2 linked regions of the Caenorhabditis elegans genome follow. The protein of the gene in region 1 purifies or fractionates together with the protein of each later gene. This does not show direct contact. Each region holds a gene or a part of one and is shown in the gene's direction. Other genes may lie near its edges.

What was found.
Region 2: the proteins of C44H4.6 (region 1) and gpa-17 fractionate together in Caenorhabditis elegans (co-fractionation; one large-scale study listed by BioGRID). This does not show direct contact.

What each region holds. Positions count from the first base shown.
Region 1 is NC_003284.9:14,595,588-14,603,220, reverse strand, and holds C44H4.6 (Protein kinase domain-containing protein), read left to right. Parts: upstream 1-3,875; 5' UTR 3,876-4,062; coding exon 4,063-4,185; intron 4,186-4,407; coding exon 4,408-4,509; intron 4,510-4,742; coding exon 4,743-4,817; intron 4,818-4,872; coding exon 4,873-5,218; intron 5,219-5,263; coding exon 5,264-5,361; intron 5,362-5,407; coding exon 5,408-5,503; intron 5,504-6,481; coding exon 6,482-6,745; 3' UTR 6,746-6,962; downstream 6,963-7,633. Other genes in the region: EOR-2, read right to left, coding at 60-129.
Region 2 is NC_003281.10:2,583,344-2,590,763, forward strand, and holds gpa-17 (G Protein, Alpha subunit), read left to right. Parts: upstream 1-3,211; 5' UTR 3,212-3,247; coding exon 3,248-3,331; intron 3,332-4,156; coding exon 4,157-4,264; intron 4,265-4,335; coding exon 4,336-4,750; intron 4,751-4,904; coding exon 4,905-5,005; intron 5,006-5,051; coding exon 5,052-5,198; intron 5,199-5,532; coding exon 5,533-5,898; 3' UTR 5,899-5,969; downstream 5,970-7,420. Other genes in the region: apb-1 (AP complex subunit beta), read right to left, coding at 863-934, 1,152-1,306, 1,989-2,163, 6,199-6,261, 7,383-7,420.

The sequences.
Region 1 (7,633 bases):
TAACAATAAGTTTTAAATTTTAAATTTTAAGTTTTTTTTTTTAATTTCTTATTGCTTACCATTAAACTGCCCGGAAAACCCATTTGCCGAAAAGTCGGGCAGCAAAGATTTTTGATTACGTTGATCCATCGAATTTCATTAGTGCAGTTAGATAATCTACAAATTGGCTATTAATACGGAAACCAAACCTATAAATAAATCTAGTAAAACGCGGAAAGCAGCAAAAAAAAACGCTTTCGTTACACAATTCGAATGACCGCCATCCTATTGATTTTTCGTCCGCGAGAGGAGGTCGGCGCAAAAGAACACATCGCAGTCGGTCGCGTGTGTTTACATGTGAGTAGTGGTTAAGGATCGGAGAGTGCAGAGAAAGAGGACAAGTCGACTGGACGGACGGACTGAGTGACTGTGTAAGGGCGAATAGGCACGCGGGTGTAATTATATGAAGGGTAATGGAAGAGATAGTGGCTGTACGGACGAGGATGTTTAAAACGTAGGCCATATTGATGCTTTCCGCGATTTTTAATACAGGAGACTAATCAAAAATAGACATCACGATAACTCATAAATGCATCTTTTCAATTATTACATTGTAAGGAAAAAGTAGAAAAAGCTTAATGTATTCACTTGATTTATTTTCAGGTTTAGTTTTTCCATCCGCAACAAGAATTTTAAGGAAAAAAGAAAAATGAATGAATAGTAACTTTTCAAATAGATAATACAAAAATACTGAACCTAAAAGTTTAAAAAATGTCTTATCAGGTTTGTTTCATTTTAAGTGTGCTGTGCATATGTGTTACCAACAGGAATCGTTTTTTTTTTTGAATGCATGTTTCAAATTCAGAAATTCCGTTGTCAATTTTTATTTTATCCGTAACAGAAAATAGAGAGAGTATACAAAATTACCACATATTGATTTTAATGAAAATCACCACAGTGAAGTCTTGTTCTGTTTTCGGAATTTCGAAGAGTGGATTATTTAAAATTTTTATTGCATCCAGTTCAACATTCTGAAAAAAATTTCTTGTGTTTTTTGAAATGAATAGCGCAGTTACAAAGACGGTGGTACATCGACCTGAAAGAACAGAAAATTTGCTATTTTTTCTGGTAGGACACTTTTTTGCTACTCGCAATTAACCAGTCTAAAATAATTTCCACACGTTTTAATGGTGGTAGCAAAAAAAAAATTTCTTGGATTTTTTTTGGAGTGAATAGTGTAGTTGCAAAGACGGTGGTACATCGACTTGAAAGAACAAAAAAAATTATATTTTTTCATGTACGGCACTTTTTTGCTACTCGGAAAATTCGAATTTCAAAAAAAAATTCAATACGGAGGAAACAAAAATAGCCATATTTTCAAAATAGGTATTTTTTTGCTGCCAGTGGTTAGACGTTTAGTGGAGATACACTTTACAAAGACAATTTGTATTTTTGATTAAAAAACAGCATAGTTTGAAATCTGCAACGTGTTATATACAGGTCTTTTTCATGTTTCATTCATTCAGTTAATTCGTCTTTGTTTTGGTAATAAATAAATTACGATTTTGTTTTGATGTTACGTTATTGCAAAATTAAAAATTCTTGATTTGTCTACGAAACTATGCTGTCAGAACTCGACAAAATCTAGTTGAAACATTTTTCATTCAGTATAAATAAAATTTTGGATTTGATGTGCTTCAATAAAATGTAAAAATTGTTTTATTACAAGTTTAAAGGTTAAACAATAAGTCAATACCTGAAATTGAAAAAGACAAGACCATTGCATTAATTTTCCAGATCAGTATTATTTTGAGAATTGCTTTAAAACGTTAATGCTAAAAACCTTTATTTGTAGTTTTTAAACCGGCTAAAGTGAGAAGTCTTATACATATGTTTTCCGCGTTGTTGTACAAAAATTGATATTTTAGAAACACTTTTTGTAAAATATTGAACTACTGTTCTTGTATACATAGAGAGCTGGTCAGAAAGAAATTCCCTTTTCTGTCAATTTTGTTATTTTTTTTAATGGCCTGCGAAACAAGAAATGCTATTGAAAAAAGTTAAACTGAAAAAAATCGCTTATAAATATGTCTATTTATTTTTATAAAGTTCAATTTGTCATAAACAGCATGACTAGAAATATAGCGGCCGACATCTCGAGAGTCAAATTTTAAATTATGGTTGTTAAAACAATTGAGACCATCTGTCAAAAACAGAGCCCGGTTCAATTCATTTAATCACCTTCGGCTCAAGATAATCAAATTCATCACTATGAAATCAAAATCTTTGTAGGCTTTGAAAAAGTATGTGAATTGAAATTGTGTTAAAATATTTTGAATCAAACACAATTATTATTAAAAAACAACAAAGACTCTTCAATATCAGAATTTAATTTTTTGGTGCGATTTTAAAACAATGATAATTGCCTATTCTGTTCATCACCGTCAATTTTAATAAATCACGTTTCTGTGTTACATCCGTTTTTCAAAATACCACTTCTGAGAATGTATTGAGTTTGTTCCAATACTAGAACGACAAGTCATAATTTTCCTATTCTCAAGTACTAGCTCTCCCTTCTTCTTCAAACATTTTTTTTTCTTCGTGCGGTTTTTTCCCAATAAAGTTCTTTCCAGTTGAAACCACGGAACATCTTTTGTTTTTGTCTCGCCAGACTTGTCGTGTAAATTCAATTTAATCAGTAAAATTTGACAGCAGCTTTGAGTTTTTGAGTCTATAAAAAAGGAAAATACAAATCCGGTTAAAATGTGATTTCTTGTTTCATATGATCAAAGTTTTTCTGGATACCACATTTTCGACATCAAATCGAAAGCTCTTGCATTTTTGAATTTACTGATACTCACAAACATCGAAGAAAAATGTTCCGGTCATCCGAGACATCTCGGCATTGCATCAAAGTTCTCGAAGGGTTAGTTATTACTACAAACTTTTCACAAGATCACTCTTACCAATCGTCACTTTTATTGTCTTCTTACCCTTTTCCCTCACGTTTTTGAATAATTGAGCGTGGTTTTTTTTCCCTATTTTTCGGAGGAGTCTTTTGTTAGAAAAAAAAAGAAACCCGACTCTTCATTTTAGAGAAAACCAATACAAATTGTTGATAGATCCTGTAACATTTTAGTTTCTAGCTTTCTGTTCAAACTTCATATGAAACTATAAATTTTGAGTTTAAAACTAAGTTTTATCAAAAAACAATATATGCATAATGAGTTGAAATTTTCGATTGTTGAACTTTTTAGTATTCAATTTTTACCGTGATTGGGGGATTTATCCGCAAAACTTATTGGCTTAAATACTCTTACCAGAAGCCAAAAACTATCAACAAAAACATTTCAACCATTACAAAAAACTCCGTTATCTTTTTCACAATTCTACACATATAAATTTTTGCAAAAAATATCCATAGCACTAGCTTTGAGAAAATAACTGATTCAACTAATTCTGGGCATTCTGGACAACGAGAAAGGCTCTCTAGTGAGTGTTATATGTAGGATTATCAATATGTCAATTTCACTGCTAACTGGCTCATCATGCCAAAGTTTTAGAAATTTTTCTTGAAAATACATACACGAAAAGCATAATTTTTTATTGAGAAAAACCAATTGGTTTCAAAGCTTCTTGCATTAAAAAAGAATTGAGCCTCCAAAGCTTGTCTTTTTTCCACTAGATTTTAAGAAATTTGAATATCCGTTTTCTTTATTTTTTGCTCAAAACCAGGACAGCTATTAGCTCTGTGCATGTTTGCGTTTTCTCCGAGCGCCATGCATCTTTTTATGTTTTGAACTTGAGATTATTTCTGGTAAGCATCTTTTTTCGGACGGTTTTCCCTGCGGGCTATTTTTCTTTGCCCGATTCGCACAGAGTCTATCTTGTTTATGGCGTTTCTGAAATCCAGATTCTTGAAGAAAGGCGTAAAACCAACTAAATATTCCCCAACCCGGAAACCAAAACCATAACAATGGCTAGGATCCCAAAATCCGATGCATGTTTTTAAAGTTAAAAAAAAAAACAAGTCATTTTTAAACTATTCCATTCGCTTTTCATTATTTTACAATTTTTTCAAAAATGAACAGAATGCGTCGATCAACTGCATTTTCGGAGCACGTGACTTTTCATACCGTCATGGCCAAAAGAGGAACCGGAAGTAAATTAGATCGAGAAGTGGAAATTCAGTTTACAAATTTACAAGTAAGTTTATTTTAATTTTCTTAGCTTATTGGAAAACTCTGAAATGTTTTTTACCTGTAAGATTAAGTTAAAAAAGGTTTTAAACTAGTAGAAAAAATATTTAAAAATATTAAAAAAAAAACTAAAACTAAACAGAACAATTTTTGAAGCCCCAGAATTGTTGCCAGCAACACGTTCTGAAATATGAAAACATTCATACACTGGGAACAATATTCATTTCAGTTAATCGGAACCGGTTCCTTTGGTGCTGTTTACAAGGCTGTGCTCCGCGAGAACGACGAGCCAATTGCAATTAAGAAAATCAAAGTTGACGATCGATTCAAGGTTTATTTTCATTTTTTATTACTTCAAGATACACAAAATGACCTTAAGAAACGAAAAAAAAACCTACTGAAACATTTTTCAGTTGATAAATTTACTATCAAAAATTGAGATTTTGAATTTCTGAGCCACCAGAAATTAATTTTAAGAACTTTTTTAAAATATTCACACTTAACTTTAACTTTATTTTAGACTCATTTCCGTAGTTGTACATAATTTTTTTGTTTTATTTACAGAGTCGAGAACTTACCATCATGCACGAAATGGACCATCCCAATATTATACGACTTCTGTATTATTACGTTATGCAGGTAACTTTTTTGATTAAGCTCACAAATTTGAGCTTACAAATGATGAGAATTCCAGCAAGAAAATTGCCTAAACTTCGTGATGGAATTTATGCCAAAAGATTTGGCATATGTCCATCGTCAATTTGCTCATAATGACAAACAAATGCCAGCCTATTCTATCAAGCTTTATATGTTCCAACTACTTCGGGGAATCGGTTTTCTTCATCTCCACAATATTGTTCATCGTGATATAAAGCCAAAAAATCTGCTCGTTGATGAGTCAAATGGGATACTTAAAATTTGTGATTTTGGATCTGCAAAACGTTTGGAGAAGAATGAGCCGAACATTACGTACATTTGCTCAAGATATTATCGTGCTCCGGAACTCATATTTGGCTCAAAAAACTATGATACCTCAATAGGTATTTGTGAAGTTGGGCATTTTAAATAGAAAATTTAATTTTCAGACACATGGTCAGTTGGCACTGTAGTTGGCGAGTTACTCCACAACTCTCCAATATTCCTGGCGGACTCGGCAGTTGATATTCTAGCGCTGCAAATCAAAGTGACAAATTGCACTATAGTCCTCTAAAAAAACCTGAAATTTTCAGGCATTCGGTACTCCTTCAAAAGAAGACATGGCTAAATGGAACTACGAATATGTTCATATTCCATACGATACAATAACCGGAGTTGGAATTCAGAAAGTAACTTTTTTCCTTCAAAAAAACATTCACTCGGCATTCGAAGGCAACTTCCTGCCACACTTTGGCAACTTATTTAGTGCCACTAAAATAAGTTGCCAAAGTGTGGCAGGAAGTTGCCTCTGAATGCCGAGCAAATGGTTTTTCTCTTATTTTCCCTGAGGTGCTCGAACTCCCAGAACCTAGTTTTTCTTAGAATAAAAATTGAACTTTTACCCGTCAGTATCTTCAAAAGTGTGTACTTAATTCCCAGTGGTGTTGGGTTTTAGGTTTTATGTCAAAAATTTTAAAAACAAACAGGAAATAAATCATAGTCATAAATAGTCAAATTTTGTGACTTTCGAAATGTTAGTAGTCTAGACGAGATACTTTTGAAGAGTTGGACTAAAAAAAGAGTATTAAGCTCAAATTGGATGCTGAAAAAATTGTAGTAAATTTTGAATTTCCCGAATAACCAGGTTCAGTTAATTTTGTGTAAAATGTTGGACGGGTAACAATGTCTGAGATTCTAAATTCTAAAAAGCGGTCTTTGTGTATAAAACAAATTTAAACTTTGTTTGGTTGACAATTACGGTTGGCATTATTTTTTAAATATAAAAGCCAAGAAAAGTAACAGAAATAAATGAATATTCAAAAAAAAAAAACTCAAATCGTCGATAGGTAAATTTTGAAAAATTGAATACATTCTGAAAAGCGAACAGTTTTGTCAACTTTTAAAATCTAGCAATTAAAAGTTTTCTTTAAGTAGGCAACTTTAAGTGTACGTACACAGCGGAATTTTTTTTCCATCATTTTTCACTTTTTTTAAAAAATAATTTATTGATGAAATTTGAGATCAATTAATAAAAACGCAATTTGTCGTGAGCACCTCTGTAGGCAGGCGCTGGTTGCTTGAAAGACATTACGTTGCATGACATTTTTGTACGAACTCAGAGTAATATATACAAATCCGGATTTTCAACAATATACTCTTCTTTTCAGTTCATTGGAAGAAAACTTTCCTTATCCACCCTCGAGTTGCTCAACAGTTTGATGAAAATGGATCCGAAACTTCGTATAAAACCATACGAGGCTCTGACTCTTCCATACTTCGATGATCTGAGAGACCCCCACTACAAGCTGCCCAGCGGTGCTCCGATCCCGCCACTTTTCGATTGGCTCGAGAGAGAGTACATTGCCAACCACGAGATAATTAAGGACATTTTCCCCCGGAGTGAGGAAGGCGACAAAGTTGAGTGCTTGTGAGAAGTTAATTACTTTGTTTATTAATATTTGCCCTCTTTAATTTTTAAGCGTTTTTTTTTCAAACTTTTTGTAAGAAAGCTTTACCGCTTTTTGTATAAAAATGTAGGCAATTTTGTAGACAATGTTCATACATTTGTATATATTGATAACAATCAAGTGTATCAGAGAGAAATAAATAATAACAAAAATTGAGAGACAAATAAAGAGATGTTTGATTTCAGTTCAGATATTTTTTTGAAAACTTGAATGAAATGATGAAGATAGCTGCGATATTTGAAAAATCATATTTTAATAAATTAGGTGTGCGTGTTCTAAGTTCAAAAGTTTAAATAATTACATTTTATAAGTAGAAGAGCAAATTTTTTCAGTAGCCGCAAAAGTCATAAAAAACGAAAGAATTTAGTTTTGCCTCAAAGTCCGCAAACAGATGTTTAACTTAACAGTTTTATAGTTTTACATGTTTTTTGTTAACTTAGGCTTTTTACAGCAAATTTGATATTGTTTTTGCACTTGTTGCCCAAAATTATGGCCTAAATCAAAATTTAAAATAAACCATAAAAAATGAGAAATTATTAAATTAAAATTGTCACGAGCAGTTCGTCAAATTTTAGGCTACATCTTATTTTTATATATTTTAGACACTTCAAAATTTAAAATTCGCTACTTCAACCATTAAAAAATTTTACAATTACACACTGACAAAAAAATGATCCCTAAATTTCAAATTTAGGACTTGCTTTCCAGAGAACAGAAATCCAACTTTAGGTCTTTAATTCATTGAAGAAATGTGATTTTTATCTGTTTAGAAAGCATTTTCAGTCTTTTCTGCCATATAGGCTAACCCGATAACTTGCAAAATTAAACGAAAAAAAAACATTGGTGGGAGAT
Region 2 (7,420 bases), on another chromosome or scaffold:
ACCGAGTTAATGGGACATGTAAAGAGGGGAAAAGGGCGATAAATGACACAAGTAAAAGGAATTAGAGAAGACCTCGAATGAGCGTGACGACGGTCTTTTATACTCCCGGCTGACGAGGATTGGCGGGCAGTAATCCGAGGCGAATCGAGCGCGCCGTCCAACGGGGCGCGTTTGCATTGTGTACGGTAGACAGGTAGCAGGCCTAGTCGTTGTTGTTGGCAGCGGTGACGGCCGAATGCAGACATGCATTCGCTACGACGACACTTGCTGGACCTGGAAAACTAGACTGAAGTAATGCTCTTATTTTGGAGAGGTGGGAACCAGAAAATCCTTACAGTGGTAACAATCGAAATTTTTAACCTCATAGACTAATGCCAGATACGAAGTGTGAAAAAATATGAAAACTGAGACAATACGAAAAACCTTATTACTCACTCTAATAGCTCCAAAAAAATTTGGTACGCTATTTGAAGCTATATCTGGTGCAGTAAAATTTTTGCTCGTTTTTCCTACCATTTTCAGCCAAAAATATTGTCTATTGAATGCACCAGCTGGTCGTGGTGCAAAAAAAATCGGTGGCCGACTTTTTTTTTGTTAATTTCTCGGTCACAGCGGAAAAAACGGGGGTTATTGCAATAACTTTTATACTTTTTTGTGTTGGAAAATCTATAGAACATTCAATAAATAAATAAATATCTTGTGTGTGGAGCGGGGGATAAATTTCAGCAGAAATAATAAAAATAAATTAGAATTTTTTTTTGGTAAGACTGATTTTTTCACAATAATAATAATAATCAAAAATACATTAGAAGTGAAATTTGGGGGGAAATTCAGAATTATTTAGGGGAAAAGGCAATTTAAATCAGTTGAGAAGCGCTTGGAATACTTCATTGATGTTTGCAATCGCCATCAGATTCTTCGATTTTAGGGAGAGCTGCAAAAAAACATATAGGTCGTCAGGCTCACGCCTGCCTACCGCCTATGCCTGCCTGCCTACGGTCCTGCCTACAATTCAATTTGGGATGATTTCCGATATTTTCGCATTTAATTTAATGTTCTATCTAGTAACAGGTATGCTTGTATGCAGAAGGTAGGCACGTAGGCATATGGTAGGCATAAGGCAGGCAGGTAGGCATATCCGTTAAACCTACCGTAATCGACGTGGTCTGTGAGTTGACTTTGAGCTCTGAGAGCACATTCAAATTGTTCGTATACTTGACAGAATGATACAAAAGTTGTTGATTGTCAACTTGTCGCCGTGCCACCGTATGAATGTTGTTTTGTTGTAGTTTTGTGCAAATTGCGTCTGAAAAATGGGAAATTTCGAGAAAAAAATTAGTTTTTTATTTAAAAATTTTGTAAAATACAGATTTGTAGTTCAAAAATGGAATTTTTTTTTGTTTTTTTTTACAAAAATGTAAATTTACCGGAGAATTATTCGAAAGTTTCGAAAAATTCTAAAAACTGCAAATTCGCTTTTTTTTACATCTGTAAAATAATCTTTAATTTTTTTTTTGTAAAAATCGAAATAATGCCTCCAAAACTGGCAATTTTCTAAAAAAAAAGGCAAAAAATAAGATTTTTTGCATTTTTTTTTTGAAGTGTTTGATACTTTTTGTTTAAAAATTGAAAAATTGTGAGTTTTAATTAGAAAAAATTCCAAAAAACAATTTTTCTTTGTAAAAATCGAGATTGTGCTTCAAAAACTGGAATTTCCTGGAAATTTTTTAAAAAAGTCATTTTTGGAATTTTTTTGAAGTTTCCAATATTTTATCAGGTTTAAAAAAATTGAAAAATTGTCTGGAAAAACTTTTTTAGCGGTTTTTAATAATTTTCGTTGAAATTTCATATTTTATTAAAAAAACGGATTTATTTGAAAAAAAATTGAAAAATGTCAGTTTTCAGAGTTTTAAATTGAAATATTACTCTTATTTTTCGTTAAAAATCCAAAAATTTTCAAAAAAATTTCCTGAAAAAAACCCGCTCACCAGCATTCATATTATGCGTATTCTGTAGGGTAAACTGTTGCTCATTTTGCTCTGGAATACTCTTCCATTCCTCAAGGAATTCACGTTTTTCCATTTGTCCATCTTCTCGGAAATAGGCCAACAATGGGACTGTGGTGGCAAAGTAGAACGCGTTGATGTCGTTTTTAATGGCAACCTGAAACAAAAATTGGAGTTTTTGTGATAATTTTTGATGTATAATTTGAATTTCCGAGATTTTCAAAAAAAAAAAAATAATTTCAAATATTTTTCAATAAATTTTTCTACGGAAACGAAAATTCCGTGGAGCTTTTGAGTTTTACAGTAAAACGCTAACAAATCGAGGTGTATTTGTGCTCAAAGTGTGATTTTCAGGCGATTTTAAGCCCCAAAAGCTTGGGTTATTTGCTCCAAAATGTGAAGAAATTGGAATTTTTGTCATAAAACTGAAATTCCGAGGGCCTTTTGAGTTTTTTAAACACCAAGAAAATCGAAAAATATCTACTTTTTTAAGGTGGAGACCCCAAATTTTTCGCTGAATTCGAATATTTATGTGAAAAAAATTCAAAAAAATTCAATCACTTTCTATTTCAGCTTGAAGTCGCTACATGTGCACCCCAAGCGACTATTTTTAAATGCCGGCCAAATATATTCTCATTAGAGCGCGCTGTGTTGTGTCGATTTACGAGATTTGCACATCAACTTTTACGTTAATTGTTTAACGAGTTTCCTTCGTTTTTGCCGGTTTTTTTTTTGAACATTAGTTTTTTTTTACGTGCCAATTGAACTTTTTATTATTATTAAACTGGCAAAACGTTTTGAAAATAGGAAATTTTGCCAGTTTAGTGATAATAAACCGTTTAATTGGCACGCACGAAAAACAAATTTCCAAAAAAAAAACCGGATGTTGAAGCAAAAAACTCAAGCTTTTGGGGCTCAAAATCGCCTGAAAATCACACTTTTAGCACAAATGCACCATGTTTATGGCGGTGAGTAACACCTTTTTATCAATAAAAAGGAGGTAATGTTTGTTTAGAACACACACACACAGACACTACTACGATGGCATTAAACGTTTTGTACATCGTCCTGCCGCCTCCTCAATCCTCAATCACTCTGCTTCTTCTTCTTATGATAACAAATCACATAATACCCCATATCTATCGTTGCCTTTACTCTTCGCGGCGTCGTCCTTCGTGCACACACACACACACAAAACATTTCAGTCATCAATCGATACTGCTTGATTACTCTTCGCCACGATGGGATCCTTGTGCTCCCGAGAGGAAGACGGCAATGATACGGTTACGACGATGAACGGGCAGAATAAAAAGAAGACTAAGAAGGTAAGGCGAGTTATGCCTGTAGGCAGCCGTGCCTACGCGGAAGAATTTACGAATTGTTTCGATAGGAAACCTAGGACAAGCTAGAATTGGAAATACCTTGAAAACTAGTTTAATTAGTTATAGGCGGTTTTCCAATTATAAACGGTATTGTGTTAACCGTAATTCTCAGTAGAGACGAGATTTACCTGTAGGCAGGCGGGAAGGCATTCTTGCCTACTACGAAGCCCAGGCGTCTAGCACAAAACCATGTCTAATTGGAAGTGCCTTGAAAACTATTTTATTTAGCTTAAGGGTTTTCCAATTAGCCGTGGCGATTTTTGCCTATAGGCAGGCGGTGAAGGCATTCTTGCGTGCAGGCATAGGAGAATTTCAAGCTCTTCTAGCCACAAGCTTGAATCTCCCGGGTATCTGGCAAAGAACTATTTCTAATTGGAAATACTTTGATAACTAGTTCAATTAGTTATAGTTTCCAAGTTCTCAATAGAGATGAGTTTTGCCTGTAGGCAGGCGGTAAAGGCATTTTCGTGCCTACAATAGGCGAATTTCAAGCTCTTCTAGCCACAAACTTCGCGGGCGGGGATCTGGCTCAAAACCATTTAGAAACACCTTAAAACTATTTTATTTAGCTTAAGGGGTTTCCAATTAGTGGTGGTGATTTTTGCCTGTAGGCAGGCGGTGAAGGCATTTTCGTGCCTACACGAATGTGCAGGCTTGCCAACTTCAGGAAAACTCCAATAATTTTGCAATTATCGGGGTGTACCGAAATCACAAGAGCTTTCGAATTGGGGCTCACGAAGCATTTTCTAAACTACAAAAAACCTTCAGGAAGGCGATATAATTCACTTCTTCATGCTCGGAATCGAAGGAGCCGGCAAGACGACGATCGTCAGGCAGCTCAAATGTCTTTGCATACAGAAACCGCAGAGTTATCAGGTTTGAATTCAATTTTTTTTGAATTTAAAATTTAAAATTCAAAATTCAAAACTTGAAATCCACATTTTCAGATGTACGACGACAGCTGGAACCTGATAGATCGCGAGAAGATCTTTGACAACTATGAGCTCGAGAACTTAAAGAACGTAGTTCGAATCAATCTGCTCACTGCGGCCAACTCACTGATCCGTAAGGTTCGTGAGACAGACGAGGAGCATATGAGAAGCTCTGGAGCAGCTGCGGCGGTTCTTAGACGATGCTCACAGCTGTACGAGGCAGAAGTTGATATCTATGATATATCGAATCAAATCGAGGATGAATACGGCGCGTACATCATCGAAATATTATCTGATCCACAGATTCGCCGGTGCTTGGATCAGGGACCGCCTGTCAAAATCGAGGACGGAACACGATTCTTTTTGAAAGACGAGGGAAGAATTCGGAATATTTTCACGCATTCTTATCAGCTAACCAATGATGATATTGGTAAGTTTTCCTAGTCAGAAAGTCCCATTTCGCTTTGATCTCCGAAAAATGCGGGAGGTGAGACGCAGACATCTCATCTGATTTTTCCCGCATTTTTTGTAGATCAAACTGTATTGAGAGAGTCTGACACAACGTGAATCCAAACAACTTTCAGTCCACGTTCGTAAGCCAACAGTTTCATTCAAAAGCTACAAATTCCGAATCAAGCAGCTTCGCGTTGAAATTCACGATATGGGAGGACAAAAGAGCGAATTAGTTTGAAAAAAAGCAAATCTTTTCAGTGGAAAATGACACTTTTCAGGTAAAAATCCCACAATTCATGCGGCAATTTCTAACTACTGATGGACATTGCTTTTTGCTCTACGTTTCCTCGTTGGCCGCATTCCAGGAGCCTGATAAGGATGTGAAAGGGCGAACGGTGTTGGACAAGAGTGCAGCGATTTTCAAGGTGAGAAAAGAATGGAAAATCCGATTTTTTTGGAAAAATCTGGAAAAAATCCGATTTTTTTAGGAAAAATCTGGAAAAACCCGATTTTTTTTGGAAAAACCAGAACAAATCCCATTTTGTTGGAAAAATCTGGAAAAATCCAATTTTTTTGGAAAAATCTGGAAAAAATTCAATTTTTTCGGAAAAATCTGGAAAAATCCAATTTTTTTTGGAAAAATCTGGAAAAAATCTGGAAAAATCCGATTTTTTTTGAAAAAAATCCGATTTTTTTGGAAAAATCTGGAAAAAAATCCAATTTTTATTGGAAATTTCCGATTAATTAATCGATTTTCAGCTAGTTCTCGAAATGAACGGAGTCGACGAGTGTACGGTAATGATATTCTTCAATAAACAGGATCGATTCGAGGAGATTTGCCGAGAAATGATGCAGAAAGAAGATGGGAAGCGGCAGCTCGAGAAGGTGCTCGGAATTCCTCCAAAAGTTCAAAAAGAGGGAAAAAAGGGAAAACCGGAGAATTATGATCATTTGAAGGATGCGATTCGAAGTCGTTTCAAGGAGATTTTGAAGGAGAATAATGATAAGAAAAGTTATTATATGAAATATACTCAGGCAACTGATGCTCAATTGATGAGCACAATTTTCTATGCAGTTGAGAATGAAATTATTTCCTCGTATTTTACACAGGCTCGGTATATTTAATTATTTTTTTGTGTTTTCGTGGTTTTTTTGTGTCGAATTCGTTAAATTATTCAATAAATCAAATTCAAAATGCTTTTTTTTGTTGGTTTTTTTTAAATTTGCAATTTTTACAGGTCAGGATTAAAAAAAATACATTTTTGAATGTAAAAAAAAAACATGTTTTTTCGTTAAATTATTGATTTTTTTTCACTTTTTTTTTTTGACTCAAAACATCGATTTTCAGCTTGAAAAATAGGAAAAAACTTGGTTTTTCAAAAAAAAAAAAAGAGTTTTCTGTACATACTACAAACTACAACTTACTTGAAGATTTGTGAGTGGAGTTGTCACTTGAACTGCTCCCGTCGTGTCACAGGCGATTGTGTACTGGAAAATTAAACGAATTATTGATTTTTTTGAGGTTTTAAAGGAATTTTTATATGTTTTTTTTGGAAAATCCAAAAAATTAGAAACTTTTTGGGTTCCCAAAATTTTTTGGCATAAATTCGTGAAAAATTTTAAATTTTACAACATTTTTTTCGAATAAAATTCGAATTTATTGAGATTTTAACGTAAATTTTTCTCTTTTTTTGAGAAAGGTTTTAGTTTTGTTTTTTTTTTCAATTTTTGAAATTTTCAAACACCAAAAAAATTAATTAATTCAAAAACAGCTTATTTTATCAAAAAACCGCTGAAACTCATGTTAAAATCTAAACTAGGTCCGAAAATATTTAATTTTTTTTGAAAAAAGTTGAGAAAATCGATTTTTAGTATAAAAATTAAGAAAAAAACCCATATTTTCGAATTTTTAATTGTAAATTTCGACTTTTTCGGGGGAATTTTTTTTTCGTTAAAAAAAACTGTAAATGTTCAAAAAATCCCATTTTTCAAGAATTTTATGTTTTAAATTCAATTTTTTTTTGAAATTTGTTTAAAAATTGATTTTTAAAAGTATTTTTAGACAATTTCGAAAAATAAATTAACTCAACAATTGGCAAAAAATTGGAATTCACAGTTTAGTTTAACGAAAACCCCGCTAAATATCATGTTAAAATAAAAATTCGTTTTTTTTTTGAAAAAGTAGAAAATATCGATTTTTAGTATAAAAAATAAAGAAAAATTGGTTAAAACCCGCATTTTTAAATTTTTCACTAAAAAAATCGATTTTTTTTTAAGTCTAAAGTATCGATTTTTAGTTTAAAAATGAAGATAAATCCCATATTTTTGGATTTTTCACTGAACATTTTAATTTTTTCGGGGGAATTTTTTTTTTAAATAAAAAGCTTATCGAATTTTCACAAAAAATCGCATTTTTCGAGAATTTAAGTTTTTTGTTCGATTTTTTTTGAAATTTCATTAAAAATTAGTTTTGTAATATTTTAGACAATTTCGAAAAAAAAAAATTTCGAAGCTTTTCAACTGATAATATTCGAAAAGTCTCCATTTTTAAGCCAAAATTCAGGTTGTTTTCCAATTTTTCACACAAAATCTATCAAAATCCCGCGTACATTTTGCGATTGATTCGGCAAAATAGGTGCCGGATTGA